Oryctolagus cuniculus: one gene and its partners. The protein of the gene in region 1 interacts with the protein of each later gene in a biochemical or structural test. Links are inferred from orthologs where the notes say so. Each region holds a gene or a part of one and is shown in the gene's direction. Other genes may lie near its edges.

Evidence for each region.
Region 2: the proteins of YWHAQ (region 1) and CDC25A form a complex in vitro, tested with the Homo sapiens proteins (2 studies listed by BioGRID, with this or other methods). The link is inferred for Oryctolagus cuniculus from reciprocal best matches to the Homo sapiens genes YWHAQ and CDC25A.
Region 3: the proteins of YWHAQ (region 1) and BAD form a complex in vitro, tested with the Homo sapiens proteins (2 studies listed by BioGRID). The link is inferred for Oryctolagus cuniculus from reciprocal best matches to the Homo sapiens genes YWHAQ and BAD.
Region 4: the proteins of YWHAQ (region 1) and PRKD1 form a complex in vitro, tested with the Homo sapiens proteins (2 studies listed by BioGRID). The link is inferred for Oryctolagus cuniculus from reciprocal best matches to the Homo sapiens genes YWHAQ and PRKD1.
Region 5: the proteins of YWHAQ (region 1) and CDC25B form a complex in vitro, tested with the Homo sapiens proteins (2 studies listed by BioGRID). The link is inferred for Oryctolagus cuniculus from reciprocal best matches to the Homo sapiens genes YWHAQ and CDC25B.

What each region holds. Positions count from the first base shown.
Region 1 is NC_091433.1:192,533,478-192,538,717, forward strand, and holds part of YWHAQ (14-3-3 protein theta), read left to right. Parts: intron 1-2,097; coding exon 2,098-2,221; intron 2,222-5,240. UniProt on the Homo sapiens protein: Adapter protein implicated in the regulation of a large spectrum of both general and specialized signaling pathways. Binds to a large number of partners, usually by recognition of a phosphoserine or phosphothreonine motif.
Region 2 is NC_091441.1:100,773,297-100,779,308, forward strand, and holds the start of CDC25A (M-phase inducer phosphatase 1), read left to right. Parts: upstream 1-2,207; 5' UTR 2,208-2,611; coding exon 2,612-2,781; intron 2,782-3,779; coding exon 3,780-3,853; intron 3,854-5,198; coding exon 5,199-5,241; intron 5,242-6,012. UniProt on the Homo sapiens protein: Tyrosine protein phosphatase which functions as a dosage-dependent inducer of mitotic progression. Directly dephosphorylates CDK1 and stimulates its kinase activity. Also dephosphorylates CDK2 in complex with cyclin-E, in vitro.
Region 3 is NC_091432.1:7,036,005-7,041,964, forward strand, and holds the start of BAD (bcl2-associated agonist of cell death), read left to right. Parts: upstream 1-2,240; coding exon 2,241-2,397; intron 2,398-2,553; exon of another isoform or gene 2,554-2,701; intron 2,702-5,960. Other genes in the region: integral membrane protein GPR137, read right to left, coding at 1-166. UniProt on the Homo sapiens protein: Promotes cell death. Successfully competes for the binding to Bcl-X(L), Bcl-2 and Bcl-W, thereby affecting the level of heterodimerization of these proteins with BAX. Can reverse the death repressor activity of Bcl-X(L), but not that of Bcl-2.
Region 4 is NC_091443.1:45,413,842-45,419,781, forward strand, and holds the start of PRKD1 (serine/threonine-protein kinase D1), read left to right. Parts: upstream 1-2,454; 5' UTR 2,455-2,595; coding exon 2,596-2,859; intron 2,860-5,940.
Region 5 is NC_091442.1:29,126,603-29,130,878, forward strand, and holds the start of CDC25B (M-phase inducer phosphatase 2), read left to right. Parts: upstream 1-1,476; 5' UTR 1,477-1,656; coding exon 1,657-1,856; intron 1,857-2,656; coding exon 2,657-2,778; intron 2,779-3,404; coding exon 3,405-3,456; intron 3,457-4,276. UniProt on the Homo sapiens protein: Tyrosine protein phosphatase which functions as a dosage-dependent inducer of mitotic progression. Directly dephosphorylates CDK1 and stimulates its kinase activity.

The sequences.
Region 1 (5,240 bases):
TCTTCCGGGTCTCCCACGTGGGTGCAGGGGCCCAAATAATTGGGCTATCTTCCACTGCTGTCCCAGGCCATAGCGGAGAGGTGGATAGGAAGAGGAGCAGCCGGGACTTGAACCAGCCCCGATATGGGATGCCGGTGCTTCAGGCCAGGGCATTAATTTGATGCGCCACAGCACCAACCCATGTTTATTTTCTTTAAATAAGTTATAAATACAACAATTGCCTTTTGTTTCAATCAGATAAAAAAACAGATTGTTCTTGGATTAAAACTACGTTTTCGGGGACATAGGCACCTGTTTTGAGTCCTGGCTCCTCACTTCCAGTCCAGCTCCCTGCAAATGTCCTGGGGAAAGCAGTGGAGGTGGCCCAAGTACTTAGTTTCCTACTACCTAATTGGGAGACCTGGAAGAAGCTCCTTCCTGGCTCCTGATGGCCCAGTTCTGACTTTAGTAGCCATCTTAGGAGTGAACCAGCAGATGGAAGACTCACTCTCTCTCTTTCTCTTTCTGTAACTTTCAAATAAATAAATAAATAAGTCTTTGACAAGAAGATTTTAAAACTACATTTTTGAACTTTTGTTATTTTATATCTATAAACAACCTTCCTTTTCATTTTTGTCTTTTGTGACTTTTTTTTTTTCCAGACTTATTTATTTATTTGAAAGGCAGAGTTACCCAGAGGCAGAGAGAGAAAGAAAGTCTTCCATCTGCTGGTTCACTCCCCCATGGCTGCAACAGCCAGAGCTGGGCAGATCCAAAGGCAGGAGCCAGGAGTTTCTTCCAGGTCTCCCACACAGGTGCAGGGGCCCAAGGACTTGGGCCATCTTCTATTGCTTTCCCAGGCTATAGCAGAGAGTAGGATCAGAAGTGGAGCAGCTGGAACTTGAACCGGCACCTGTATTGGATGCCAGCAATACAGGCGGTGGCTTTACCTGCTACGCCACAACACTGGCCCCTTTTGTTACTTTTTATACTCAGATATTCCTATGCCTCTACAAGTATAAATACTTACTAAGAAGTGCTATCTCATTGAATCAGATGTCCTTTTTTATTTTTATTTTTTTTTTAAAGATTGATTTATTTTTGTGAAAATCAGAGTTAGAGGTCTTCCATCTATTGATTCACTCCCCAGATGGCTGTAGTAGCCAGGGCTGAGCCAGGCTGAAGCCATGAGCTTTGTCTGGATCTCCTGTGTAGGTGGCAGGAGCCCAAACGCTTGGACCATCTTCTGCTTTTCCCAAGCCATTTGCTGGGAGCTAGATTGGAAGTGGAGCAGACGGGACACAAGCTAGCACCCATATGGGATTCCGTGCACCGCAAGTGGCTGCTTTAACCCACTATGCCACGATGCTGGCCCCTCAAGTGCACAGCTTATTGTATGGTGTCACTGATAAAAGACATACAGAAATACCGTAATTTATTGATTAGATTGAGTAGACAGAATTATTCTGTCTTGCTGTGCTGTCAGCTGCTGACGCTCTGCCCTCTGATCGCCTTGATTCCATGGACATCCGGGTGCAGAGTGCGCTGGTGAGCTCTTTAGTTCTCTGTTCTCACGCTGGATTCTGCGCAGGCTGATCTCTGCCCCGAGTGCTCCTGCTGTCGATTCTTGACAGTCAGATCTCTGTTCCCCTGGAAGCCTGAACCAGAGGCCGTCTCCAGCAGCGCTAGCTACTCACTCCTGTCCTGTTCCTGTATTTCTCTGTGCTTAGCATGCAGTTAGTGGTGTATGGACAGAGGCTGAGCTTCTTGAGGGCAGGCCTCTGCTCTTAGGGCTTCTCTGTGTCTGCTGTCAGCAAATACCTGACACCCAGCAGATGTCAGTAAGTGTTTGTTGAATGACCAGGTGAGTGAATGGAGAGACCCTTTGTGAGGATACTGTTTTGTGTGATGTAGCTTTCTTTAAAATGTGCCAGGGAGACGGTGGCAACAGGCTGACACTGCTGTAAGGACATGCTTCAAGGCCAGGCGGACGTGGTGAAGGATTATTGTGGTTAAGGATTCTATTACATGAAGGCAGAAGTTAGATTATTCTAAATTCTTGTCTGTAATTAAATAGCTTTTATTAGCGCCTAATTTTTTTATCTTTTTTTTTTCCAGGAATTGTTGGATAAGTATTTGATAGCCAATGCAACTAATCCAGAGAGTAAAGTCTTCTATCTGAAAATGAAGGGCGATTACTTCCGGTACCTGGCTGAAGTTGCATGTGGAGATGATCGAAAACGTAGGTATATTTGGTTTCAGCTAAAGCCAAAATAAATAAAAGGCAGTTGGTGTAAATGGGACACTGTTCCAGTGCTCTGTAGTCTCCAGACTCCTTGTAACTTTGAAAACAAACAAAACTCTGAATGATATGGATCAATAAAATGAATATTTATCTTATTTTCTAAAAATAAAAGTAGGGGATCCAGCGTTGTGACGTAAGGGCTTACGCTGCCACCTGCAACACATAGCTGCTGACTCACTTGTACTCTGTGCACTTGGGAAAGCAGTGGAAGATGGGCCAGGTCCTTGGGCCTCTGCAGCCACGTGGGAGACCTGGAAGACGCTCCTGGTTTCTGGCTCCTGGCTCCTGGCTCCAGCCTTGCCGAGCAGCAGCAGCTGTGGTCATCTGGGGAGTGAACCAGCGATGGAGACCTCTCTCTCCCTCTCCCTCTCCCTCTCCCTCTCCCTCTCCCACTCCCACTCCCACTCCCACTCCCACTCTCTGTAACTCTGTCTTTCAAATAAATCTTTTTAAAAAATGAAAATAGGCACAAATGTTTGGTACAGTGGTTAGGATACTGCTTGGGACACTCATATTCCGTTCTGGAGTGCCTGAGTTCCAGGGTTCTAGATTTCTTTTTCTTCTTCCTCTCTCCCTCTCTCTAAGATTTTTTTTATTTACTTGAAAGTCAGTTACAGAGAGAGGGTTTCTGTCCGCTGGTCACTCCCCAAATGGCTACAACGGCCTGGACCAGGGCAAAGCAAGGAGCCAAGAGATTCATCTGGGTCTCCCTCATGAGTGACAGGAGCCCAAGTACTTGGGTCATCTTCCACTGCTTTCCCCGGGCCAGTAGCAGGGAGCTGGATTGGAAGTGGAGCAGCTGGGACGCAAACTGGTGCCCACATGGGAGCTGGTGTTGTAGTCAGTGTCTTTACCCGCTACACCACAACACCAGGCCCTGGGTTCAAGTTTTGACTCCACTTCCAATTCTAGCTTCCTGCTGTTGCATATCCTGGGAGGCAGTGTTGATAGCCTAAGTACTTTGGTCCCTGCTACCTAATATGGGAGATCTACATTGAATTCAAAGCTTCTGTCTTCAGCCTAGCCCAGCGTTGGCTGTTGCAGACTTTGGGAAGTGTATCAGAGGGTAGAAGATCTCCCTCTGTCTCTTTGCACCCAAATGGGATGGCAGCGCTGCAGGCGGAGAATTAACGTACTGCACCATGGCGCCAGCCCCGGTGTTGCAGTACTTCCTATAGTACTTTAATACTGAAAACAGGGAATTATGGAAGGGATCTCAGATTTCATGTAAAATACATTTTAGGAAAAACCATGCCTGGACGGTGAATAATTTGTTCCATGGTCACAGTAAGCTTGAGTGACCCACATGACTAGGGCTTACTTTACAGGACCTCTTTGATAAGTAATAGTCATATAAAAAGATTTGAATTTTTTTAAAGATTTATTTATTTTACTTGAAAGTTACACAGAGAGAGAAAGAGAGGCAGGGAGAGAGGTCTTCCATCTACTGGTTCACTCTCCCAATTGGCTGCACTGACCGGATCTGTGCTGATCCAAAGCCAGGATCCAGGAGCTTCTTCCAGGTCTCCCACGTGGGTGCAGGGGCCCAAGGACTTGGGCCATCTTCTACTTCTTTCCCAGGCCACAGCAGAGAGCTGGTTAGGAAGTGGAGCAGCCAGGACTTGAACCGGCGTCCATGTGTGATGCCAGCACTGCTGGCAGCAGCTTTACCCACTACACCACAGCACCAGCCCCTAGATTTGAATATTAAATACCTTTTTTTAACCCTTAGACTGTTACAGAAAATGTAATGGGGGAATAATTGAATCACCTGATTTGATTATGGGAACATCAAAGTTTATTTATAGTAAACTTAAGTCTCCTGGGTTATTAGGAGCTGAGCATAGTACAGATCCTAAGTTTTGTGTATGTGCCTGTTAGTAGATTTGTCAAGTTCTAGGTGGAAGTGTTGCTGAAATTCTGATTGTTTTCCCCAGTGAATTTGTGGTGTTCTTGGTTCTCAGTTCTGCCCCCATCCAGTAACATAGCTGCACAAGTAGATACCAGTGCGACTGAAGCCATAAAGAGGAAACCACTGTACTTGCTCTAACATTTGTGTACAAATTTACTGTTACTGATAGAGAGTTTTTGTTGCCACAAAGGTAAGCAGAGTTGGAAGTGAAAATACTGGCACAGAACTGAGCGTGTAAGTGCCAGCGAGGCAGAGGACGTCTTACTAGGACATTCCTGGCTTGAGGCCGACCTCGGCCCTCTGTCTCGTGGGCACTCTGAGCTCCTGCTTTCAGTCCCTCGGGTGCCATCAGCTGTCTTTCCAGCTGAGCTGACCGCTTCTGCTCTGTGTAGTCCCTCCTTAGATGCCCACAGCAAGAGCCACTTACTGTGGGAGTTGTGATTAGATCAACAATGATGCCGTTTCAGAGGAGGGAAAGTGCACAGTCAAGTCATAAAGGGGTTGCTTAATTTCTGCTATGTCATTGTCTTCAAAAAAGCTGGGGTAGATCCACGGCCTTAAATAGAAAACAAACCCTTTCAAAACAAATATAATCAAGTTCATGTTGGTAATGCTTCCTAATTATTTTTTTTTTAATTTATTTATTTGACAGTCATAGTTACAGACAGAGAGAAGGAGAGACAGAGAGAGAGGTGTTTTATCCGCTGGTTCACTCCCCAAATGGCCACAATAGCCTGAGCTGAGCCGATCCGAAGCCAGGAGCCCACAGCCTCTTCTGGGTCTCCCACTCGGGCACAGGAGCCCAAGGACTTGGGTCATCCTCCACTGCCCTCCCAGGCCATTGCAGAGAGCAGGATCAGAAGTGGAGCAGCCAGGACTCGAACCAGCGCCCATATGGGATGCCAGCACTGCAGGTGGTGGCTTTACACTGCGCCACAGCACTGGCCCCTCCTGAGCATTTTTTGAGGGAGGCTACTCAAAGCAGATTTTGCTGTATTATTGGCACTTTATATTGCCTCACCCAGAGCATCGTAATACCCAGAG
Region 2 (6,012 bases), on another chromosome or scaffold:
AGCTTCCCCTTCAGACCCCACCTCCAAGTCCTCACCACCGGCCTCTGAAGGCAGCCATTATCATGGAGATGATTCCTGTGCCGAGATTAAGCTTGGCAGGTGGGAGCTCCCTGAGGGTAGGAGTGATGGCATTTCTATCTTAAGCCCTGGGTGCGTTTCAGTCACAGTTAATTGAGAATACTAAACTATACCAAATAGGAGGAGAGAAAGTTTTCAGAGCTTCAGCAGGGGAAAGGATTACCTTGGGGAGGGATCACTGACCATGTGAACAATAACAGCAGAGAAACCTAAACAGCCTGAGGGTTCCGGCGGCAGGGGCCAGCAGAGGATGCCCAGGGTAGCTGGGCTCCTGGCTTGGGCCTGGACTAGTTTCAGCTGTTGTGGGCATCTAGGGAGTCAACTATCAGATGGAAGCTCTCTCTCCCTCTCCCCTTTTATCTGACTCTCTGCCTTTCAAATACATACATAAATATAGCTTACAAGAAAGAGATATGCATGTCCTGTTTGGGGTGTCTGGGGTCAATACCTGGCTCCGGCTCAGAACAGCAAGTTCCTGCCAATGCAGACCCTGGGCAGCGGTGTGACGGCTCGAGTAACTGAGTTCCTGCCACCCATATGGGAGACAATGATTGAGATCCCAGCTGGCAGCTTCAGCCTGGCGCAGCCCTCGACACTGTGGGCGCTTGGGGAGTGAACCCGCAAATGCATATGGGATCTCTCTGCCTCTTTAAACAAAATAAAGTGAAGCTTCTGTGGTTGCCAGGAAAGAACTGGGGAGCCTGCTGGGGCACCAAACAGAAGGACACCATTGTGGCCCAGCTCCCTCACCGCTGACAAATGGAAGCCAAGCCCCACCCACCTCTCTCCCTCCACATCATCCCCTCCCAGTTCAAGTCCCACCCTTTCCCAACAGGACTGCTGTGATCCCCTGCAAACTGGTTTCCCCAGCTCTGCCCTTGCTGCTCTCCACTGCATTCTCCACTCTGCTGCGTTTATCTTTTTAACATATAAATGTAAACCTTTTACTTGTTTGCCCTTAGAAAAAGTCCGAATTCCAAAATGTGTTTTTCCAGCCCTGCAGAGTCTGAACCCTGGGCCCTGACTGCCTCCCAACTGCCCCTCACCCACTTACTGCTGCACACCAGGGACCCCCTTCTTCCCCAGGCTCTTGCTTAAGGCCTGTCTCTCCCGGAAGAGCCTAGGCTGCACCTTCTAAGGCTTCATCCTGCTGGTCATTTCCTGACCTACCACACCAATCAGATTCCCTTCTTAAAGACCCTTTAAGCACTCACGTTTTCTTCCCAGCACGGATTCACTCAATCTACAGATATTAGGGCCTTTCCCGGAACCAGGCATTAGGTGATAGGAAAAAAAAAAAAAGTCAAGGTTCTTACCCTTTTGAGTTAATAGTAATCTGAAGACTTTGACCTGATTAAACAATAATAGAAACAAATGTGAACATGCGTTGCCCCCCGCGGTCCCCCCCTCCCGGTAATGGGGGATGGGGTGGATGATAACAGGGATTCCCTCTGATTCAGTCAGGATATCAAACTTTTCTTGAGAAAAGGAAGGTGAGCTGGGTGAAGTGGGTGAGGGGTGAGAAGGGCACTTCAGGCAAGTCTCCAAGAAAGCATGGATTGCGGCCGGCGCAGTGGTGTAGTGGGTAAAGCCGCCGCCTGCAGTGCCGGCATGGGAAAAAATGGGGTCCACAGTATTGTACAGTTAGAGGTAGAGACCGGGCTGGGTCTGAATAGCTTTCTCTAGCCCCCAAGTCCCCTCGGGGTGTGGGGCGCGAGGCTAGAGGGTGAAGTGTCGGTGGCCAAACGGGGGTACGAAATCACTGGACCGCTGCTCGCGATTGGAAAGGAACTACACTTCCCAGCATGCACCAGGGCAAGGGGGCGTCTTTCGGCCGCGACCAGCACCTCGAAGGTTCTGCTGGGCGTTTTCATTGACCTCTGAGGCGCCTCTCATCTTGAGCCCCTCCTATCAGCTGCAGGCCCCGCCCCCTTCTGAGAGCGGAAGACCTCGCAGAGTCCCGCGAGCTGCGGCCTTCTTCCTTTCTCATTGGCCCATCCTGGCTGCCATTCGGACGCGAGGCGGAGAAGTTGCTTCCTGATTGGTGGATTCTGTTTGGCGCCAACTAGGAAAGGGGGGCGGGGCAGCGCCGGCCCTCTGTAAGCAGCTATTACCGCGAAAGCCACCTCGGCTGCGACAGTCTGGAGGTCGGCCTGGTTCTCTGCGATCCCGGCCTGGGTAAGGGGAAGAGAAAAAAGCTAAGAGCGTGACCTTACCTTGCGGAACTTGCCTGCTGCTCCTCGGGCCTCCGAGTTTGTTTGGATTTGATCTTCAGGTTGCTGCGGTCCGCACGCCGGCTCGCCTCGCGGGGTGAGAGGGAAGCACCCGTGCTTGTGTCTGGCACCTGCCCGGTCCGGACGACCGCCCGTCCGCTCCGCTTGTTCGCGGCTGCGTCCCTGAACCCGCGGGGTCGTGTTTGTGTTTGACCCGTGGGCGCCGGCGGCGGGGCACGCGGCCGAAGCCGGTGTCGGCCGAGCGGGGCAGGCGCGGCGGACAGAGAGGGAGCGGGAGCCTTGGGAGTCCGGGCGCCGCCATGGAACTGGGCCCGGAGCCCCCGCACCGCCGCCGCCTGCTCTTCGCCTGCAGCCCCCCTCCCACGCCGCAGCCCGTCGTGAAGACGCTGTTTGGCGCGCCAGCCGCCGGGGGACTGTCGCCTGTCACCAACCTGACGGTCACCATGGATCAGCTGCAGGGACTGGGCAGGTGAGGAGGTGCGGACGCGCGGTGCCCGAGGCCGCTGGCCTCCCACAGGCCTTCCCACTGCCGGGAAGATCGGGTCGTGAAACGGACCGGGAGCCGGGCGGGTCGTGCGGGTCCGCGCCCGCCGCTCGGGGGCTGTCGGACCGGGGCCCGCCATGTGCACCCTGCCCCCGCCGGGCAGAATGTTGGGCGGAGAGGCAGTTCCGACCCTGCAGGGCTGCCCTCAGCCGGGGCTGGGCCCGGGCTGTGGCCGGGGACCCCCCACCCTCGTCGCCCCTTTGAGAATTCCCGGCACTGGCTTTGTGCTTCCCGGGAAGCTCTGCGGAATACACCCGTACGGGGGAAGGGCTGGCCCTCGCAGGCGCTTCAGTCCAGCCCTTCCCGAACCAGCTCACAGAATCTTAGTTTCCTGCGAGCTTTCTCTTCTCAACAAAGGGACGTGGCATTTCCTTTCCGGGTATTTGTGCAAAAACATCGTCCTAGTCCCTCGCCCGCGCACTTTCCTCATGTTGATCCCTCTGCTTTCCTAATTCCTGTCTCATCCAGCTTTCCATAGCTCGCTAGGCTTCTCCTTGGAGGAACAAACGCGTCCCACACTGTTTCTGACGAGGCTGCTTTCCCCTCAGTCTTGGTATACCATATTCTGAGCCGTCTCGTTCACGGTTCCCAAGCCCTGAAAAGCAGGAACTCCTGTCCCATTCTTCAGTTATCTCTAGCACAGTACCTAGAACACATGCTCTCATTTCAGGAAATAGCTCCCCATTTGCCATAGTCATCGTGTCTTGCAATGTGGCCAGGGGCCAAGCCACCCGCTCTTCCCTCCCTTGCTTGGTGCTAACTGGGTGTTCCCAGTGGCAAGAAGGGCTCTGTGGTGTGGCCTAGAAGTGATGGTAATTCATGCCAGACTGGCTGCTTGTTAACCTCATGGCCTGTTTCCTGTATGTGGCCTTTTAGTGCTGTCCTAGAAATCGCTCATGTGCAATTATTTTTCTTGTCTTCAGCGAGTATGAGCAGCCACTGGAGGTGAAGAACAGCAGTCTGCAGAGAATGGGCTCCTCCGAATCAACGGATTCAGGTATTCCTTGGGTCTTTGCCAGTCTGTTCTGTGGGGAGCAACATGGGAATTTCCTAAAGCAAGCATCGAGTGTGTATAAGGAGGTGGTGTGTGTGCTTGCCCTGGAAAAATGACTTAACATTCACCATTCCTCAGTGAGTGAAGTCCAGAAAAACACAGGATGACAGCTTCCTCCTAGGACGCAGCAGGTGATGGCTCAAATGCTTGGGCCCCTACTACCTCTGTGGGAGGCTTGGATTGAGTCCCTGAACTAGCAAATGGGATATCTATTCTTTTTGTCTCCTTCTTTCTAGTAGATGAAAAAATAAACATTAAGAAATTAGGATAAACTTATTATAAGAATAATGAAGTCAGTGATCCTGCTATGGAGGAAATGAACAAGGGTGCTTTTTTCAATTTCCTAAATTCAGGTTACCGCATGCACAGATAAGAGCATTTAGGGTACAGATGTTTAGTTTTAGGACTTGCAAAGGCAAACGTCATAAAATGTAGTATAGACTTAAGAACTGGAGATGAGATTCTTATTTGTGGAAGTAGACAGGTGAGAGTATCGGTTCTAATGCCTAATCTGTAAGGCTTTGGCAGCATCATGGAGCGGTGTGAGCTTGGCATGTGCTGGTGGGTCTTAGCTAGCACAGAAGTAGTACTGAGCAGTGTCTCCTCCACCCTACTACTTTTGGAGAGATGGACACCTTTCTTGGAGTCATTTTGTTAAAGGCAGCCAATGTCTGCCTTGTGTGATGATTAATATATTTTTCTTTTAAAAAATATTTATTTTTATGTATTTGAAATCAGAGAGCTCTTCCATTCACTTCTTCCCAAATGCCTGCTAAGGACAGGGCTGGGCCAGGCTGAAGCCAGGAACCACGGACTCTATTCTGGTCTTCCATGTGTATGGCAGATCTAATTTACTTGAGGCATCACCATTGCTTCCCACGATGCTAATTAGCAGGAAACTGGAATTGAAAAAGAGCTTGAATTTGAACCTGGGCACTCTATGGGATACTGGCATCCCTGGTGGTGTTTTAACTGCTGCACCAAATGTCTGTTCCATAATTGTACTTTATAATCCTCAGAATTACTTGGATAATTTGATGAGACAAAATACTTGAAATCAAAACTATTCCAGGAAAATACAGTATGTTTTGAATAACTATGCATGATGTGAATAAGTTTAATTCACCCTCCATAAATTCTATTTCCTTTGATGGCAATTGCCAGTAGAAGGGGATTCATGTATATATATTATGAGAATGTTATCTATGTATTTTAACAAAATGGAATTTGTGTATTATTTCCTCACTTTTTTTTTTTTTTTTTTTTTTTTTTTTTTAATTTTCCACAGGTTTCTGTCTGGATTCTCCTGGGCCCTTGGACAGGAAAGAAAAGTATGTATTCACTGCTTTTAAATTTATACATAGAAAAAAAGCCTTTCTTAACTTCTTAAAAGATTTACTTATTTATTTGAAATGTGGAGAGAGAGATCTTCCATGCACAGGTTCACTCCCTAAATGCCCCCAGTGGCCCAGGCTAGGCCAGGCCAAAGTATCATCTGCTGCCCCCCAGGTACATGAGCAGGAAGTTGGGTTAGAAGCACAGAAGAGTCAGGCACTGCAATTGGGATACAGGCATCCCAAGGAGCAGCTTAACCCACTGTGCTACAATAGCCTGTCCCTCAATTTTTTACTGAAGTTCTTTATATTCTGCACTGGAACCCTAGCTTTAGCTGTTCCTAGAAAGACCCCTGGATTCTGGAAAAACTTCACGAGTAGTGTGTACTTCCCTCCTTAGATTTTAGCTCTTGTTTTGGTGTTAGTCAAATTCTTAAGAGAATGTATTTTAAGGGAAGGTTTGGATTTTCTTTTTTACCTAGAAGCCCAGTGTTGGAGGTGCTCCTAAAAATAGGATAGCGGCCGGCACCGCAGCTCACTGGGCTAATCCTCCGCCTTGCTGCGCCGGCACACCGGGTTCTAGTCCCGGTCGGGGCGCCGGATTCTGTCCCGGTTGCCCCTCTTCCAGGCCAGCTCTCTGCTGTGGCCAGGGAGTGCAGTGGAGGATGGCCCAGGTGCTTGGGCCCTGCACCCCATGGGAGACCAGGAAAAGCACCTGGCTCCTGGCTCCTGCCATCGGATCAGCGCGGTGCGCTGGCCGCAGCGCAC
Region 3 (5,960 bases), on another chromosome or scaffold:
GCCGCTTGTGCCCGTAGAGCAGCACCAGCCAGAGCTGGGCATAGACCGAGAAGAAGAGCAGGGCGTACAGGGTGGTGTAGGCGGCCGTCAGTCCCAGGGTCACCGCCGGCGGAAGCGCAGGCACCAGTCCCGCGGCCGGCACCAGGCCCGACAGGTTACTCTCCATGGCACGGAGGGGGCCTGAATCCAGGAGACAGGGGGCCGGGCGAATAAATACAGAGCCGCGGGTATTCGGGGGTGCAGGGCTCGGGAGTGGAGTGTGGCAGGCCCTTCCTCCTCAAGGAGAGACTCTCGCCCTTGACGGGCCTCTCACTCCATCTCTCTCCCCTCCAGGGCAGGCCGGGTCGGGGGTGTTCCCTCCCTCGGCAGGCCCCAGAGCCGGGGATGCGGGGTGCAGGGTGCAGGGGCGTCCCTGGCCTGGGTCTCTCTTGCCGTCCCGGTAGGAGGGGGAGAGCCGGCCGAGGCCCATCGGCTCCGGGCAGCGGCCGCTGCAGGGGGCGACCGAAGCCTCGCTCTCCCTCTCCCCAAGCTGGGGGGGAGGGGCTTTCGCCCCTAAAATTATCCAGATGGGGCCGGGGCCTCCGCCTGTGTCCTCCGGGTTCCGGACGCCGCCCCCTCCCACCGCGTCCACTCCCCAGCCGCGGGAGGCGGGAAGAGGCCGATGCCAAGTCCTCAGGCCGTGCGCGGCTCGGGGGAGCCGGCTCCGGTCGCCGGGACCCCGGGCTCGGGCACCCCGGCTCCCGCCGCTCCGCCCCCTCCTGCGCCTGCGCGGGCGCCGTGCGCTACGCCAGTTGCGCAGGGGCCGGCCCCAGCTCTGCGGCCCCGCGCCGCGCCCGGCGTAGACTCAGTGGAGAATCGGCGCGAGGTGCGCCGCCGGCGGGCGCCCCGGGTTACAAGAAGCGGCGGGCGGAGGAGAGGCGGGGGCCGCGCCGTACCTGGGGGGCGCCCGGCCGGGTTGCGCCCTGCGCCACCAGACCTGGCTTGTCTGTGGAGGGCCGCGAGCCCCTACACCTCTCGCCCCCATCCCCAAATCAGTGTTGCGCCGCCCGGCCGGAGGCGGCAACGGCGCCCCCTCACTCAGCCTCCGAGGGAAACTTCCGCCCGTAGCCAAGATGGCCTCCGGGCCCCGCCCCCGGCCCCCCACCCGCGGGACCCCGAAGCTGCCCCGCAGGGCCGCTGGCGCGCCCCTCGCCCTGGCCCGCGCGGCCCCCGCTCACCTGGCCGGCCGCCCGCGCGCCGCCTGCCAGACGCGGAGCCCCTCGAGGCCTACGGTTCGCCCTCACCGGGGCCCCTGTCCCTTCTCCCGCGCCCGGGCCCTCATCCTGCCGGGGAGGAGGTGCCCTGCCTTATCTCGAGTGATCCCGAGACGGCGCGAGGAGCAGGCCCTCCGGCGGGCCGCCCGAGGCCTCCACGCAGGGGAGGAGGAGGAGGAGGAGGAGGGAGCGGGACTTCCCGCCCGGGTCGCCCAGTGCGGGCGGAACAGTAACAATAGCAACGACAACTGCATCCGACCGCGGAGCTTCGCTGGCGGCTTTGCCAAGTCCTTTCACCTACAGTAATCACCACTGTTTACGAGTGTCTTGTACTTGGCTCCCGGGGAGAGGCGCCTCGCCGCCGTCGCCCCGACTCCGCAGTGGGGGGCCCCGAGGGGCTCGTCGGCGGAAGCGGGCCTCCGGGTCCCACGCGGGGACCCCAGGGGCTCCCTCACCTGCTCCCACACACGCCCAGGGCGTGAGTAAGTCAGGAGCGGAGCCTCGGGCGGCCCGGGGGGACCGAGGAGGAAGGCGGCGGCCCGGGCAGGTCGCGGGTGGAGGCGGCCCCGCCTCCGGGCCAACCCGGCTTCCACTTCGAGAGCTGATTGGGCCGGGCCGCTGACAGTTCCCGTTGCCCAGGCAACGAAGGCTGGGCGCCCTCGGTCCTGGAGGGAGGCGGCGGAGCCGGGTCGGGGGCCTCGGCCGGGCGCGGGGTGAGGCCTGTGCGGCGTCGCCCCCCGGCGGCTTGGGTCGGGCTGGGGCCTGGGTAAGGGCCCCGGGCTGCCCCTACAGCACCAGAACTCTATGCCGAGATTCGGGTGCCCCTGCCGGGCCAGGCCTAGAGAGAGAAGGGCCTGGGGAGACCCAGGGGGCCTCGGGGTGCCGGGGTGGAAGGGGGAGCCAGGCGCACCTGCCGCCGTCCCCGACAGCGACCGTCTGCCCCTCCTGTGTCCTGACGCCCTGCTGTCTTGTCCCACAGCCCAGAGCATGTTCCAGATCCCAGAGTTTGAGCCCAGTGAGCAGGAAGACTCCAGCTCTGCCGAGAGGGGCCTGGGCCCCAGCCCCACAGGGGACCGGCCCTCAGGCCCCCGGGGGGACGCCAGTCACCAGCAGCGGCAGCCGAGCCGCAGCAGCCACCATGGAGGTAGGTTCCGTCCCACTGCGGAGCGCCAGTGCCCCTTAACCGCCCCCCTGCCGCCCCAGCCCAGCAGTGGCTGCCCACATGCTGACCGCGACTCACTGAGGGCTTTGGGCAAGGCCCGGCCCCCTCTGAGCCAGTCTCCCCTTCTGTAACACTGACCGGTCGGTTACCACCATGGCAGGAGTGCTGGGCTGCCGAGCAGGTGTATGGAGGAAACACTGGGTTATCAATCCGGTATACCGTACATGGCCAGGAAAAAAGTCATTGTTATGGTGGGGCGGGGACAGTGCAGTGAGAGGTGGACAGTGACCCAGAAAGGGGAAGTGACTCGCCTAAGGTCACACTCCAGGAGGCTCTGCCCCGGGCTGCTCTGCTGGCCTGGGATGGGCCTTCTAGCTCCCGGGTGTGTTTTCCCTGGCCTCTGCTCACACCCAAGGGGAGGCTCGCCTAGCCCAGGTGAGTGGCGTGGCAGGCAGCAGGCCGGGGTGGGGGGCTAGACGAGAGCCCTGGGAGGCCAGGAGCACGGCTCAGGAGGCTCCTGGAGCGGCCCACGGAGATCCGGGAACAGCAGCCAGGCCGGTCACTCACCACTCGCCCGCCCGAGCTCGGCCGCCCTCTGTTCCTCTCCGCACGGCGTCCAGCTGGTGCTCACAGCCCCCACCTGGTCTCCACCCCCACCTGGCAGTCGCTCCCCATCAGCAGCGTCACCGCCCCCCCCCCCCCCCCGCAAAGGGGCAGGAACACAAAATGATGTACCCTGGAGGGAGAGCCCACGGGGCCTTGCTGCGAGGGAGAGGGAGGCCCCTAGGACGGCGGCGCCCAGGCACTGGGCCCGAGAGCGTGAAGCTGCCTTGACAGAGGTGGGCACGCAGGGCGGGGAGGGAGCACAGGGACCAGGGTTGGGCCCAGGTGGAGCCCCAGCACTGGAGGCCCCGGCCAAGCAGGGAGAGAGCAGCCGAGAAGGGAGGAGAAGGGCGTCTCCCGGCCCAGAGGAGGCCGGCAGGGTGTGAAGGCCCCAGAAGCAGCCAGATGGGGGGGCGGGGGGGGGCCGAGAATGGCCTGCAGGCGGTGATGGTGATAAGGAGCCTGGCTGGAGGGCTGCGGGAGGAGGGCAGACAGCAGACAGCCGGCCCAAAGCAACTGGTCGCCCATACCAGGTCCACACAGGTGCCTGGGCCCCTGCCCACCGCCCAGCACACTCAGCCTAGGAGGGGACAGGCCAGCGGGGAAGCCACTGGGCCAGGCTGTGGGGTGCAGGGTGGTTCCGCGCGAGCCCACGGCTGTGATCGCCTCGGGGTTCCCAGTTAGTAGGGAAAGTGCTAGCAGCTGTGGGCGTGGAGGCAGGGCCGGGTCACAAGCCTCTGTGCTTGTCGCGTTACCCGGCAGGCGTGTTACACGCCTGGGTGCTCCCAGGGCCCCGCAGAGGGCAGGCGCGAACACGAGGGCCCGGAAGGCCACGCCAAGGCCTCTGGAGTGCGTCTCAGTCAAGTCCAGCGGCAGGGCTAGCGAAGGTTTGGGTAGGCGGCCGGACAGGGCTGGTCGTAGGGCGGGGCGGGGCCTACCGTGGCCATAGGTTAACTCCTGTTTGTGTGCAGCCCCGTGAGCTGAGGGTGGTTTCCCCACTTTCCAGTGGCCGACAAAAATCCAAGCTACGGTATTTTGTAACACACGAAAATTACATGAAACTCAGATTTCGGAGTCCCGAAGGTGTCTGTGCACACGGCACGGTGCCTTCATTTACATGTTGTTTATGGCTTCCCTGAAGCCCAGACCACAAAAGCGAGTGACTGTCACCAAGATTACGTGGTCCACAAACCTACACCGGGAACAGGCGCTCGGTGCGGTGGTGAAGTCACTCTGGGACACCCGCAGCCTAGATCGGGGTGCCTGGGTGGAGTCCCAGCTGCTTGGTTCCTCATCCAGCTTCCGCCGGGGTGCACCCGGGATGGCTCAGTACGGGGCCCCTGCCACCCACCTGGGAGACCTGGATTGAATTCCTGGCTTCAGCCTGGCCCAGCGCCAGCTGTTGCAGGCTTTTGGGGAATGAGCCAGCCAGGGGAAGATCTGTCCCCCTTCTCAAATTAAGTGGAATAGGGGTGGATGTGGCGCCGTGGTGAAGCCGACCCCGGGGACACTGCGGCCCGTCAGAGGACCTGCGGAGTCCCGGCTCGGCCCCGGGGACACTGCACCCCGTCAGAGGACCTGCGGAGTCCCGGCTCGGCCCCGGGGACACTGCGCCCCGTCAGAGGACCTGCGGAGTCCTGGCTGCGCTCCAGGGAGGCGGCCGGGGGCGGCGCAGGTACGCGGGAGACCCAAGCTCACTGTGGGCTCCTGGGCTCTGCAGGCCCGGCCCTGGCTGTTGTAGGCATTTAGGGAGGGAACCAGCTGACGGAGGGTCTCTCCCTCTGTGTCTCTTTGCCTTTCAAATCAAATAAAAATAAATATTTTTAAAAGAGAAACTGAAAATAAATAATATAGTTTGTTTTGGTTAAAAAAAAAAAAAAGCCCTGAACTGTGTCCAGGAGCACCCACCCAGTAAGAGGGTGCTGGCTTGTGGGTGCCGTGAGGCGTGGGCGGCACTGAACTCCGATGTCGCTTCCTATACAAGCATGCCTGCCACAAAGTTTAATTGTAAACTAGGCACATGGCATTACTAACTAACCACGAAAAGGAAAATTATAATGCAAATTATAATACAATAAAAGTTGTCTAAAACCTAGGAATTGTTTCCAGACTTTCCTTTTTACTTTTTTAAAGATTTATTTGTTTTTTGTTTTTTGTTTTTTTCAGATTTTTTTTATTTTATTTTATTTTTGACAGGCAGAGTGGACAGTGAGAGAGAGAGACAGAGAAAGGTCTTCCTTTGCCGTTGGTTCACCCTCCAATTGCCGCCGCTGCAGCCGGCGCACCGCGCTGATCCGATGGCAGGAGCCAGGTGCTTCTCCTGGTCTCCCATGGGGTGCAGGGCCCAAGGACTTGGGCCATCCTCCACTGCACTCCCTGGCCACAGCAGAGAGCTGGCCTGGAAGAGGGGCAACCGGGACAGAATCCGGCGCCCCGACCGGGACTAGAACCCGGTGTGCCAGCGCCGCAAGGTGGAGGATTAGCCCAGTGAGCCGTGGCGCCGGCCTTAAAGATTTATTTGTATATTTGAAAGGCAGAGTTACAGAGAGAGAGAGAGGGAGAAAGAAAGAGAGATCTTCCATCCGCTGGTTCACTCCCCAGATGGCCGGTCAGGAGCCTGGAACGCCATCTGGGTCTCCCATGTGGGCGGAGGCCTAGGACTTGGGCCGTTTCCCACCAGGGTCCCGGTGCACTAGCAGGGAGCCAGATCAGACTCGAGCCCGGCTGGGATGCCGGCACCGCGGATGGTGGCTTACCCCACTGCGCCACAGCGCCGGCCCGCCTGGACCTTTCTGTGAGGCATGTGGGCCGAGGCTGGCCACAGACGACAGGAACTGCGGGTGAGCGAGGGCTGCCTGCTCTCTGGTCCTTTACAGCAGACACCCGCCGTCTTAGGGCATCGTGTTTCCTCTTTCAGATTTCTGATTGTGTGGGCGGGCGTT
Region 4 (5,940 bases), on another chromosome or scaffold:
TCTGGTTGAAAACCTTCCCGTTGTTCAGCAATACCCTGAGAATACAATACAAGCTCTTTACTATGGCATTCAAGACCCTTAGTGGTCTGGCTTCCTTCAGCTCTGACCTCTTTCTCTGTGCCTTGAAAATGCCAAATACATCCCTGAGTTAGATTGTTTGCACTGTCTGTTCTTTATGTCTAGAATATTACTATCCCAGAGCTTCCTAAGACTTGTCCCTTTCCACCCAGCATCCAGGTTTTGGTGATTTTTTAAGTGTAAACTCCTCAGTGAAACCTTCTTTCATGCTGACTCCGAAGTAGTGCCTCTTTCTCTACTCCCTCCCCACAAGCTACTCTTTTTACTATGGCATTAATTTTATTCATTGCAATTATGACTATCAGAAATAATCTAATTATTTTTTTCTTTTCAATGTGATACGTTTGAGTTGTCTTGAAAGCTGCACAACTTTTACCTATGGGGTCTGGAACAGGGAAAAATCTCAGCACCTAGTTGTTATATTTACAAATCATGACTAGCTCTAGCTCTCCTGAATCTGAACTGAAGCTAGCTTTTTATAAATTCCTTCTGAACAGGAACTTTGTTCCTAGTAATAGGAAATTGCAGAATATTGCCTTTCTTCAAACTTTGGAAGAAAATGAGATATCTTTTCTGACATTAAAAGAAAATCCCTAGAGAAGTGAGACGGCTATTGCATCAGGAAGAACTGATTCATTGTCCTGGCTTAGGTGACTGAGTCTGGCACACTAAGAAAATGATACTCTAACATGAAGAATAAAGAGGACGAGCTCATAAAGAAGTAAGCAGGAGAAACACCAACGCATATATGTAGATTCTAACAAACTATCAATCCAGAGTACATTCAAATCTCTTCTAGAGCAGCGAACAACACAGTGTAGCCAGGGGTGCAGAAGACCGCATTATCTATACTGGGGATACAGCTCTAAAGAAACCACCTTGCAATATCTTGGGCAAGAACCACAGGTCAAGATAATAGAAAAAAATAAAAAAAAGTAACGACCCAGGAAAGAAAGTATACGAAATAGGCTGCTTAGGTATGTTAGAGAAGTACCAGGGAAGTGGAGAAGTGACACACTACAGTACATAAACTGCTTGGGCAACTGCTAAATGCAACTGTGAAGACCCTTCTTCAAATATTATTAAGAATTCCCAAGCAATGATAGCAGAGCATGGGACTGAGCAGGACCCCAATGATCCCGATGAGAGCTGGACCCTGCGCAAGTGCATTGTTATACACCCATGAAACCCATCCTCGGTGGGGGGGGGGGGGCGGGCGGGAATGAAACTCATCTCCCACTACTGGGAAGCACGACTCTCAGCCCCCAACCCGACAAAAGCAAGAAACAACTCTGCGAGCAGGTTGTACTCCATGTTGAAGGCGGTTCTAGTGATGGCGGTGGTGCAGGGGAGAACCTGGGAGCACCACTCCTGAAAAGTACACTTGAGACTGACAGAAGAAGAAGGAAAATCGTTTCTGGGGCTCCAAAGCGGAAGCTCCAGCCAAAGAGAGTAGAGGGAAAGAGGCCGCATCAGACCCACCCCCTGGCCTTTCGCAGACGGTGCCTTTTCTTCCAAAAGGCCCATCCAGTGAATTCAGCTGCTCGCCCACGTCTGGGTTCTCAGGACTGGGGTGGACGTAAAGGTGTGACACAGAGAGAGACAAAAAGGTAGGCACACCGAAATACACTTCTGTGGATTTATACTCTCTACGGTAGTCACCCGAGGGCTCCCCGAGGCGCCGGGATCTGAGTGGCTCCCTCACGAACCGCTATTTCCATCCCCTCCTCGAGGCTCGGAAGGAAACCCCACGGGGAACCCGAGGGTTTGGCAGTCTTGAATACCTCAAAGGTCGCCCCACTCAGAAGGGCGCAGTCCCGGTGCCCCCGCACCAGCTGTGGGGACTGTGGGGACCGGGGGAGCTCTCAGCCCCGGAGACCGGGAGGGGGAGGTGCGTCCCGACTCCCGGGCCCCTCAAGTCGGCGGCCCGGAGAGCGGGGGCTGCAGAGACGGGGGACCCGGAGGGGAGGCACGGGCCGCGCCCTCCGTGGTGGCCCTGAGCCCCGCCACTCGGTCCTGTCCCGGCTCGCCAAGGCTCAGGCCCCCGGAACCTCGGACTGAGGGGGCGGCGACCGGGCACCCTGCGGCCACTGCGGCCGCGGCTCCTGCGGCTCCAGCGCCCGCCTGGTGGTGGCTCCGGAGTGCCCGCCCCCAGCTCTCTTCCCCGCCCCTCGCGCCCCTCGCCCGCCCCCGCCCGGCGCCCGACCGCGCTGACCCGCAGCCCCGGGGCCCCGAGCGCGCCGCGGCGGCTGCTCCTCGGAGGCGGCGGCGGCGGCGGCGGCACCTCCCCCGCGCGGTGGCCGCGCTCCCGGCGGCACAGTCCTCCCGCCTCGGCCATTTTTCCTCCTCCCCTCCCCTCCAGAGCCTCATCCCTTCGCCCTCCCCCCGCGCCGGGACTTTTCCGGAAAGTTTTTATTTTCCGTCTCGGCTCTCCGAGAAAGAAGCTCTCCGTTCGGCCGCCGCAAAAACTTTTCGGCCCCCGCCCTCGGCCGCCCGGCCCCGCCGCCCCGCCGAGCGATGAGCGCTCCTCCGCTCCTGCGGCCGCCCAGCCCGCTGCTGCCCGTGGCGGCGGCCGCGGCAGCAGCGGCCGCCGCGTTGGTGCCGGGGTCGGGGCCGGGGCCCGCGCCCTTCCTGGCTCCGGTCGCGGCCCCGGCCGGGGGCATCTCGTTCCATCTACAAATCGGCCTGAGCCGCGAGCCGGTGCTGCTGCTGCAGGACTCGTCCGGGGACTACAGCCTGGCGCACGTCCGCGAGATGGCTTGCTCCATCGTCGACCAAAAGGTAGGGCGCCGTGCCGCTCCCCTCCCGGCCTCCCGGCCGCGCGGCGCAGGGGGCGCTGCCCTCCCCGACCCTCGCCGCCAACTTTCCGGCTGCGGGGGCTCGGCCGGAGCTGGGCTCGCCGGCGCTCAGGAAGCCTCTGGCACCGACCAGCCGGACTTGGACGCCCGCGCCCAAGGCATCGCGCTCCCTGTTGCTCTGCCCTGGCGCCCCCATGCTCTCCGAATCCCCAGGTTCTCGCCTGTCTGAGTCCTTTCTCTGCCCATTTCCATCCGTCCCATGACATGTCCACGCATCCTACCCTGCTCTCGTCGCGCTCCTGCGCACCCTTGGGACTTGCCGGCTCCCTACCCACTCCCTTCTCCGCCCCCCAGCCTTCCCTTCGGAGCCTGGACCGGCGCGTTCCCGGCCCGAAGTCCCGCCGGGACGAGCTCCGCACGGCTTCAGCACCACTCCCTTCCCCTCTAGATCCGTCCCCCCACGCCCAGGTTGCCGCTGAGGGGTTCCTGGAATGACCTGGGCGCGAGGAATTTCTCACCTGTCAACTGGGCTTTTAAGAGAGGGGGATTGGCTTGGCCAGCTGTGAAAACAACTGAGCGGACCCCAACTACCCAAGTCCTTTTGGTCATTTGGTCCCACCTCTGTAAGAGCGTGGGGACAGAATTTCCAACGACGAAGCCGCGGAGCTGCGGCTTATTTTTCTGGCACATAGAGAGTGGGACACTGAAGTGTTGGGGTGATGTCCAGGGACTCCCTCAAGGCTGAGTGCCCTCAAGTCCGAGACTGTGGGCCTCTCCACGGCGGCCATCAAGGGCAGGCTAGAAAAGGGCCCTGGTCCTGGACCAGGCCACCCTGGGGGAGACTCCGCGCCCACCTCTGTTTACACTGCTAGTCTGATTTTCAGGTTGGCAAGGGGCGGTGGGGGTATAAGCTAGTGGGAGCCTTGGCGCCAGTCTTCTCAGGACAGTCAGCCAGGGCTTGGGGGCGGAGACAGAGGGCACTAAAAGTGCTGGATTTCAGTCCTGGAGGACTTGGCTAGGACTGCCTTGCAGTGCTCTCCTGAATAATCAGGAATTGCCTTCTTGAAAATTATTTGAAATGGAGTTTGCCAAACTTGGAGGGTTTTGAATTGTGACACACTGAGCTCAGGTACATTAGGAAAGCCTAAGGGGGGGGGGGGGGAGATCACTAATCTGGGAAGTTGTGAAAGTTCTGAAGGCCAGACAAAGGTAACCATGAGTGCCTGCAAGTTTCATTCAGTGAAAGGAGTGGCACTTTATAGTGCATGTGTGATTCTCAATTGCTTGCAGCTTCCATGCAATGTTTGTGTCCAGCCCCAGTGTCAGGGAGTGTGGGTTATGGGAGAGCGGGAGCACTCCCCTAGGCATCAATAGCCTTACCTGATCAGAGTGTGGCCACAGCATCTCCATGTTAGAGTGTGTAAGAGTTCACTGAAATGCAGTGCTGCCCAAGCACAGACACACTGGAGATAATAACATTTCTCCAAAAAACATGCAGCTCTGTGGAACTGTGATTTCTTATCTATTTATTATTTATTTATTTATTAGTGTGTGGAAGTCTTCTTTCCCCTTTTTATTTATATATATAGAGAACAGATTTCATGTAATTCAGATACAATTCCAAGAATATAGTAACACTTTTCTCCTTTTCCTTCAGTTTTTGCAATAACATTTAGAATTTACATCACAGTGGGAAAACCATTGTTCAGCAGGAATATAGACAAGGGCTATCTAACGCAAGGATGTGGTGACAGAATATTTAAATGCAGTCTAATAATGTGGACAGACTTTGTTTGCCAGCTTTAAAACACACGCACACCTTAATGGAATTTAGGATGAGGTGAAACAATCAAGGTTTAAGAGGTTGGGAGTTGCATCTGGGTCGCTCCCAAGAGGGATGTCATATGGAAAGAGTGAGGTGAGTCAAAGGGAGAGGGGCTGCAGGCACCCCTGGATTGCAGTAGACTCGGGGTGGGGTCTAGGGTATTTAGAGAAGGCCTTGACATTAAAATGAACTCAGTAATCCTCGCATAGAGAAATCATCCCAAGAACATCTGAGCCATGGATTTGCTGTGTGGAGGGTGCTATGGAATGCCAGCCATATTGCAACAGAAAGAAAACTGGAGTTTGTTGCTGTGAGCTGCTTAGAACCCGGGCCAAGACTCTAGGGGAGAGACTTGGAGAAATACTGGAAAGGGAACATCAGCAGTCCTTGGTAATTGATTTGCGAAGGGCAGCCCTTTCCTTTTGCATTTATTCCGGTAGTTCTGTCTCAAAAGAAAAGTTTGAGAAGTTTGCTTGCAATAGCCAAGAGAAGGAGTTCACTTTGATTTTTTTGTTGAAGATTATTGCAGAGATTTACATATGTGAATCTGAGAATTACTTATATTTGGAACACTAAATAAATATGTTCTTGGTGTTGGATCTAGACAGAGGATTTTTTTTTCTGTCTTCTGTCATCTATTGCAGGATACCTTATTACCCCAGCCAGAAACAAGGTGGGAGCCGTATGAGTCCATCACAGGCTAATAGAAATCTGCTTTATGACGGTAGGAATGGTAGAGTGTGTCACTGTGGCGGGAAGGAGGAGTTCAGAGGTAGGGGAGGCCCTTTTGTCCTCTGTTTCCACTCTTCTTGAAGTACCTTATGAAGACATCAACCATGAGGACAAATGGCAGAGGAGAGAAAGAAAGATAAAGGATGGGAGAAGGGGGGGGTGATGGTTTATCAGGAGAGAGCTGACAGTTTGAACTTATTTACAATGTATTATGTAGACCAGACTCACGTGTGGTTCACAAAGGCAGGGTCCCTTGGTTTTCTGAGCCCTTCTCTTTTGTTGTTTTAAATTGTGTGAAGAAGTTTTGCATCCAGTTTGTTCATGAACTCCCTAAATTCTGTCGTTGGTCATCATAGCTTAAATCTTTGGAAGTATTAACAGTTCAGTTGATTTCAGCAACATTTCTGGGACATTTTCATGGGATGAACGACTGAAGTACACAGGCTGAATAAGAGAGACACTGTTCCTGCGACACTCATCTTTAAATTCTTATTATTTAGAACTTAA
Region 5 (4,276 bases), on another chromosome or scaffold:
AGCTTTGTTCTGGGAAGTATTGGGCCCGGCTGTAGTCCGGCCTCCAGGCCCAGAAACCATCTTCAAGGGTTCCCAAGGGTGACTCCCTCAGCACCTCCCCACATCCTGTGTGTTGGGAGGGAGCAGTGTTTTTCTTCTGTGCTGATCTTGAAAATGCAACCCTTGGGGCAGCTTTATTTCTGATAGGTAGGGTGGGTCGCCTCCTGAGGCACAGCCCCCCTCCCCCCCCCATCCCTCCCAGCCGGTGGCTGGGCGGTGGCTGGAGGGTCAGAGCCAGACCCTTGACTGCCGAGAATGAAAGGAAACAGCACCGGGGCTGGGCAGAATGTTCAAAGTTGCTCCTCTCGGGTGGGACTGGAGCCTCCCCTCTCCTTCCCCAACCCTGCAGCGCCACCCCACCCCCCACCCCGCCACTCCCTTTCGCCAACCTCACCCAGGGGCGAGGTTCGGGCAGCGAGGGAAGGGACGCGGGTGCTCGCGACCCCTCCCTCCAAGCTGCGCTCCCCTCCTGAGCCTGTCACCCTCGGGAGGTCGCCGCTTCCCCAGGGAGACGGGGTGCGCTGCGTACCCCCCAGAAGGGGTGCAGCCCTTTGGCCTCATTCCAGGAAGACAAGGGCTCAGCTGGGAGGTGATTAGGTAATTAGAAGATGCCCAATTTAAACTAATGACAGATTCTACAAAGAAACGCCAGTTGAACAATACTATGCCATTGATACCAAGTGAGCCAAGCCACCATTGTAGGTTCTACTTCCATTACCGAGTTCTCTGGTCGCTGGCCCCTTCCTTGACGCCCCGGGTCCAGTCCAGCCGTCAGAGCCTCCCCTGGACTGCTAGAGAAAGCGGGGCCCCTGGCGGCCTCGGGCTCCCACCGGCGTCCCACCGCCTGCACTGGGCGTTCGGTCCACGAATTACCCTTTGGAGCTGCTCCGCGCTGCCAGACGCTGGGGCAAGGAGCCGGCGGGGTCAGGGGCGTCGGGCAGCGAGCGAGGGCTGGTCCCACCACTTTCCCAAATGCATGACCTTGAACAAGCCCATGAACTTCACGCCTCCACATCCGCGTCTGTGAAATGGGACGGTGAACGCAGCCCGCCCAGGGCCGCCGTGCTTGGCAAACGTGCCGGATCCTCCTGGGGCTCGCGCGCGATGTTAACCCCGGGTGCCTCTTTTCCGGACCCCCCTGGGGCCTGTGGCCCGCTCTGTCGGTGGAAGGTTCCACATTAGGTCCCAGAGCGCGGGATTCGGGGGGTCTCCACCTCGCGCCCGGGTTGGGGGTGGCGGGTGTGCAAGCCGTGGGATGGACCCCAGTTCCTCCGCCTCCCCCGAGGCTGGAGCTGGGCGGGCCGGGCTGGTCCAGCCCCCGCGCCTCTTGCTTCGCGGGCCCCGCCCCCGGGCCCGCCCTCCTCTAACCCGCGCCCCCATTGGTGGCGTCCGGCGGCGCGGCCGCTGTTATTTTTCGAATATATAAGGAGGTGGAGGTGGCAGCTGCAGTCAGAGGCTTCCCGGACTGGTGCTTGAGTCCCGCGCCCCTCACCCCTCCCCACCCTCCCCGCATCCCTCTCCTCCCTCACTCCCAGTCCCACTGCTCTTCCTCCCTCCCTCCCTTCCCCCAACCCCGGGCCCGCTCCCGGCCCCAGGCCCTCCACCCGCCCCGCCGCGATGGAGGTGCCCCGGCCGGAGCCTGCACCATGCTCGGCCCTTAGTCCGGCCGGCGTGCGCGGTGGCGTCCAGCGTCCGGGCCACCTCCCGGGCCTCCGGCTGGGGTCTCATGATCTCCTGGGGTCTCCGGAGCGCACGGCCGCTTCCTCGCCGGTCACCACCCTCACACAGACCATGCATAATCTGGCGGGGCTCGGCAGGTAGGACGCCTCCCAGAGGCTGGGCGTGGGGTGAGAGACCAGGACGGGGTCCTTCGGCTCCAGAGGAACCGCGCGTGGGAGTTGAGCACTACAGGTGGGGTGGGGATGCGGCCGGGTCAGCGCAGAGGGAGTCCCTACCCCTGCTTCAGGGGCCCTGGGCAAGGGGCATCAGACCCTCCAGGTGACCCTTTGGTCTGCGCAAGCCTCCAGGGACCCTCCTTCCCCTCCCCCTCCCTTACTGTGACTCGGCCACGGTGCCCCCCCCCACCCCAATCTCTGTCCGCATCTCCTCCATTTTCCCCAGGCGGGGAGATATGAGCCGGGAGGGGGAAGTTGAGGGTGGCAGAGCAGTGGGGTTCTCACAGGCCCATGCCTCTGCTCCCTCCACCCTGCTTCTGCCCCCAGGGTTCAGGTCATTAATCCTAATCCTGTTCCCTAAGCAAGCCTCAGGGGCTGGGCTGACTTCCCCCAGCAGCCATAGAGACCCAGGTCTCTCTCTCCAAGGAGGCCCTGGGATGGGTAGGGGTCTGAGGAGCAGAGGGCTCCCAGGGCTGCTCTCTCGGCTGCCCCACTGACCGCCACGCCAGCCCCCAGCCTCTTTGCCCTCGCCCTGTGATCACTTGCCCTGCACCTGGGAGGGCCTCTCCTAAGCCTGCCATCCAAGAGAAGGCACTTGGTGGGCTAAGCCTCCTTGTCCTGAGGAGCAGGTGGGCCCTTCAGAGCTGGGTGACTGAGAACAGGGAGGGCCTGGAGGCCTGCATTTACCTCTCTCCTTTTCTGGTACCCCCTTCCCCTCCCAGTGAGACCCCAGAGGCTCAGGCCGGGAGCCTGCTCTTCCGAAGCCGGCTGGCGCGTCTGTCCCTGTCACGGCGGGCATCCGAGTCTTCCTTGTCATCTGATTCCTCTGAGTGTTCTGATGCAGGTGAGGCCCCACACGTGGTTGGGGAGGTCTGAGTTTGGGGGGCTGCCTGGGCTGCTGGATGCCCTGCAAGGTCAGATTAACATTCTTCCCACAACCTGGTGTGCCCGGGAGCCTCCCTGCTTGGCCTGCAAAACTGGGAGGAAGACACACCTCTGGCGGGACCCACCCACCCAGCCCGGGCTGGTGGCCGGGTGGGGCCCTCTGTGGGAGGGGAGATCTCACCTATCCGAAACCAGGCACCAGAGTCCTTAAACCACACATACAGCCCCACCTGGGAGCCGCGGGAGCCTGCGAGCTGATCTGTCTACAGCATTCTCTGAGTCTGTAACTTTAAGAAGCCGTGATCTCTTCTAAAACAAATTATTTTAAACCAGTTCATGAAAAAAATGCTTAGCAAGCACTGTGGTTTTAAAATGTATAGGACAGGAGTTCCCATAGTAACAGGGAGTGGAGCCCTGTGTTGTGTGGGGACAGCATGTCAGCTCATGGCTAGGTTCTTGTCTCATTTTTTAAAGTGTGTCCAGATGGAAAGCAGAAATAGGGCTTCCTCCCCTTCCTGGGACATGCTGGGGGGAAACAGGTAGGGAACGTCACCCCTTTCAAACCCAGGCCCTCTGTCCCCACAGGTCTCTGCATGGATTCGCCCAGCCCTGTGGACCCCCAGGTGGCAGAGCAGACGTGAGTAGATGCCGGGGACCCCTACACAAAGGAGTCGCCACCTGCCTTTGGGAATCCCCGTTCTAGCAAAAGCTCGCTGGAGAGCTCTGGGAGAGTGGAAGGAGTCCTCAGGCCCCACAAAGAGGGCTCGGTGACCTGCCTTGGCCTTGGGCTTCGGCTTCCTGTCTCAGAAGTGTCTGCTTTCAGAAAGCTGGCTGAAAGTGGACGGGGGCCAGGGGTGGTGGGGACAGTGGCCCCTGGGAGCAGTGGGTACTGGACCCCAGCTGGGCCTTGTCCTATGGGAACATAAGTCCAATGTGTGTCCTGTTATCCTTTGTTGCTTCTACACATTGTTTTAAACTAGGAAATAATCACAATTTAAAAATATGTTCCAACTAACTCAGTGCTTTAATTCACTCTGTGTCAAACACAATACAGTTGCTTGCAGACTGATTGGGCCTTAGGCCCATCAGCAACCTCTGGCTTCAGACACTTGACCCCTGGCCAAGCCCTGGACCAGGTCCTTTGTGAGAGAGAGGGAGTGGACAGAGCTGGTGGGCTCTGCTGTGGACAGATACCTCCCCGTCGTGGCGGGGGGGGGGGGGCAGGAGTAATGCCATCCGCAGCACAGCTGTTCCCATCCAGCTGTTAAGACCCAAACAGGTGGAGCAGCTGCCAGCCATTAGTAGGGACAGCTGAGCATCCCTCTCCTGGGCTGGAGGTCTCTGGCTGTGGGTTTAAGGCATCAGCGGCTATGACTGCTGTTCCTCCTGTTGCCTTTGATCAGACTGGGCTGGGCTGCAGAGTTTGTTCACAAACAGGAAATGGGGAGAGAATTGGG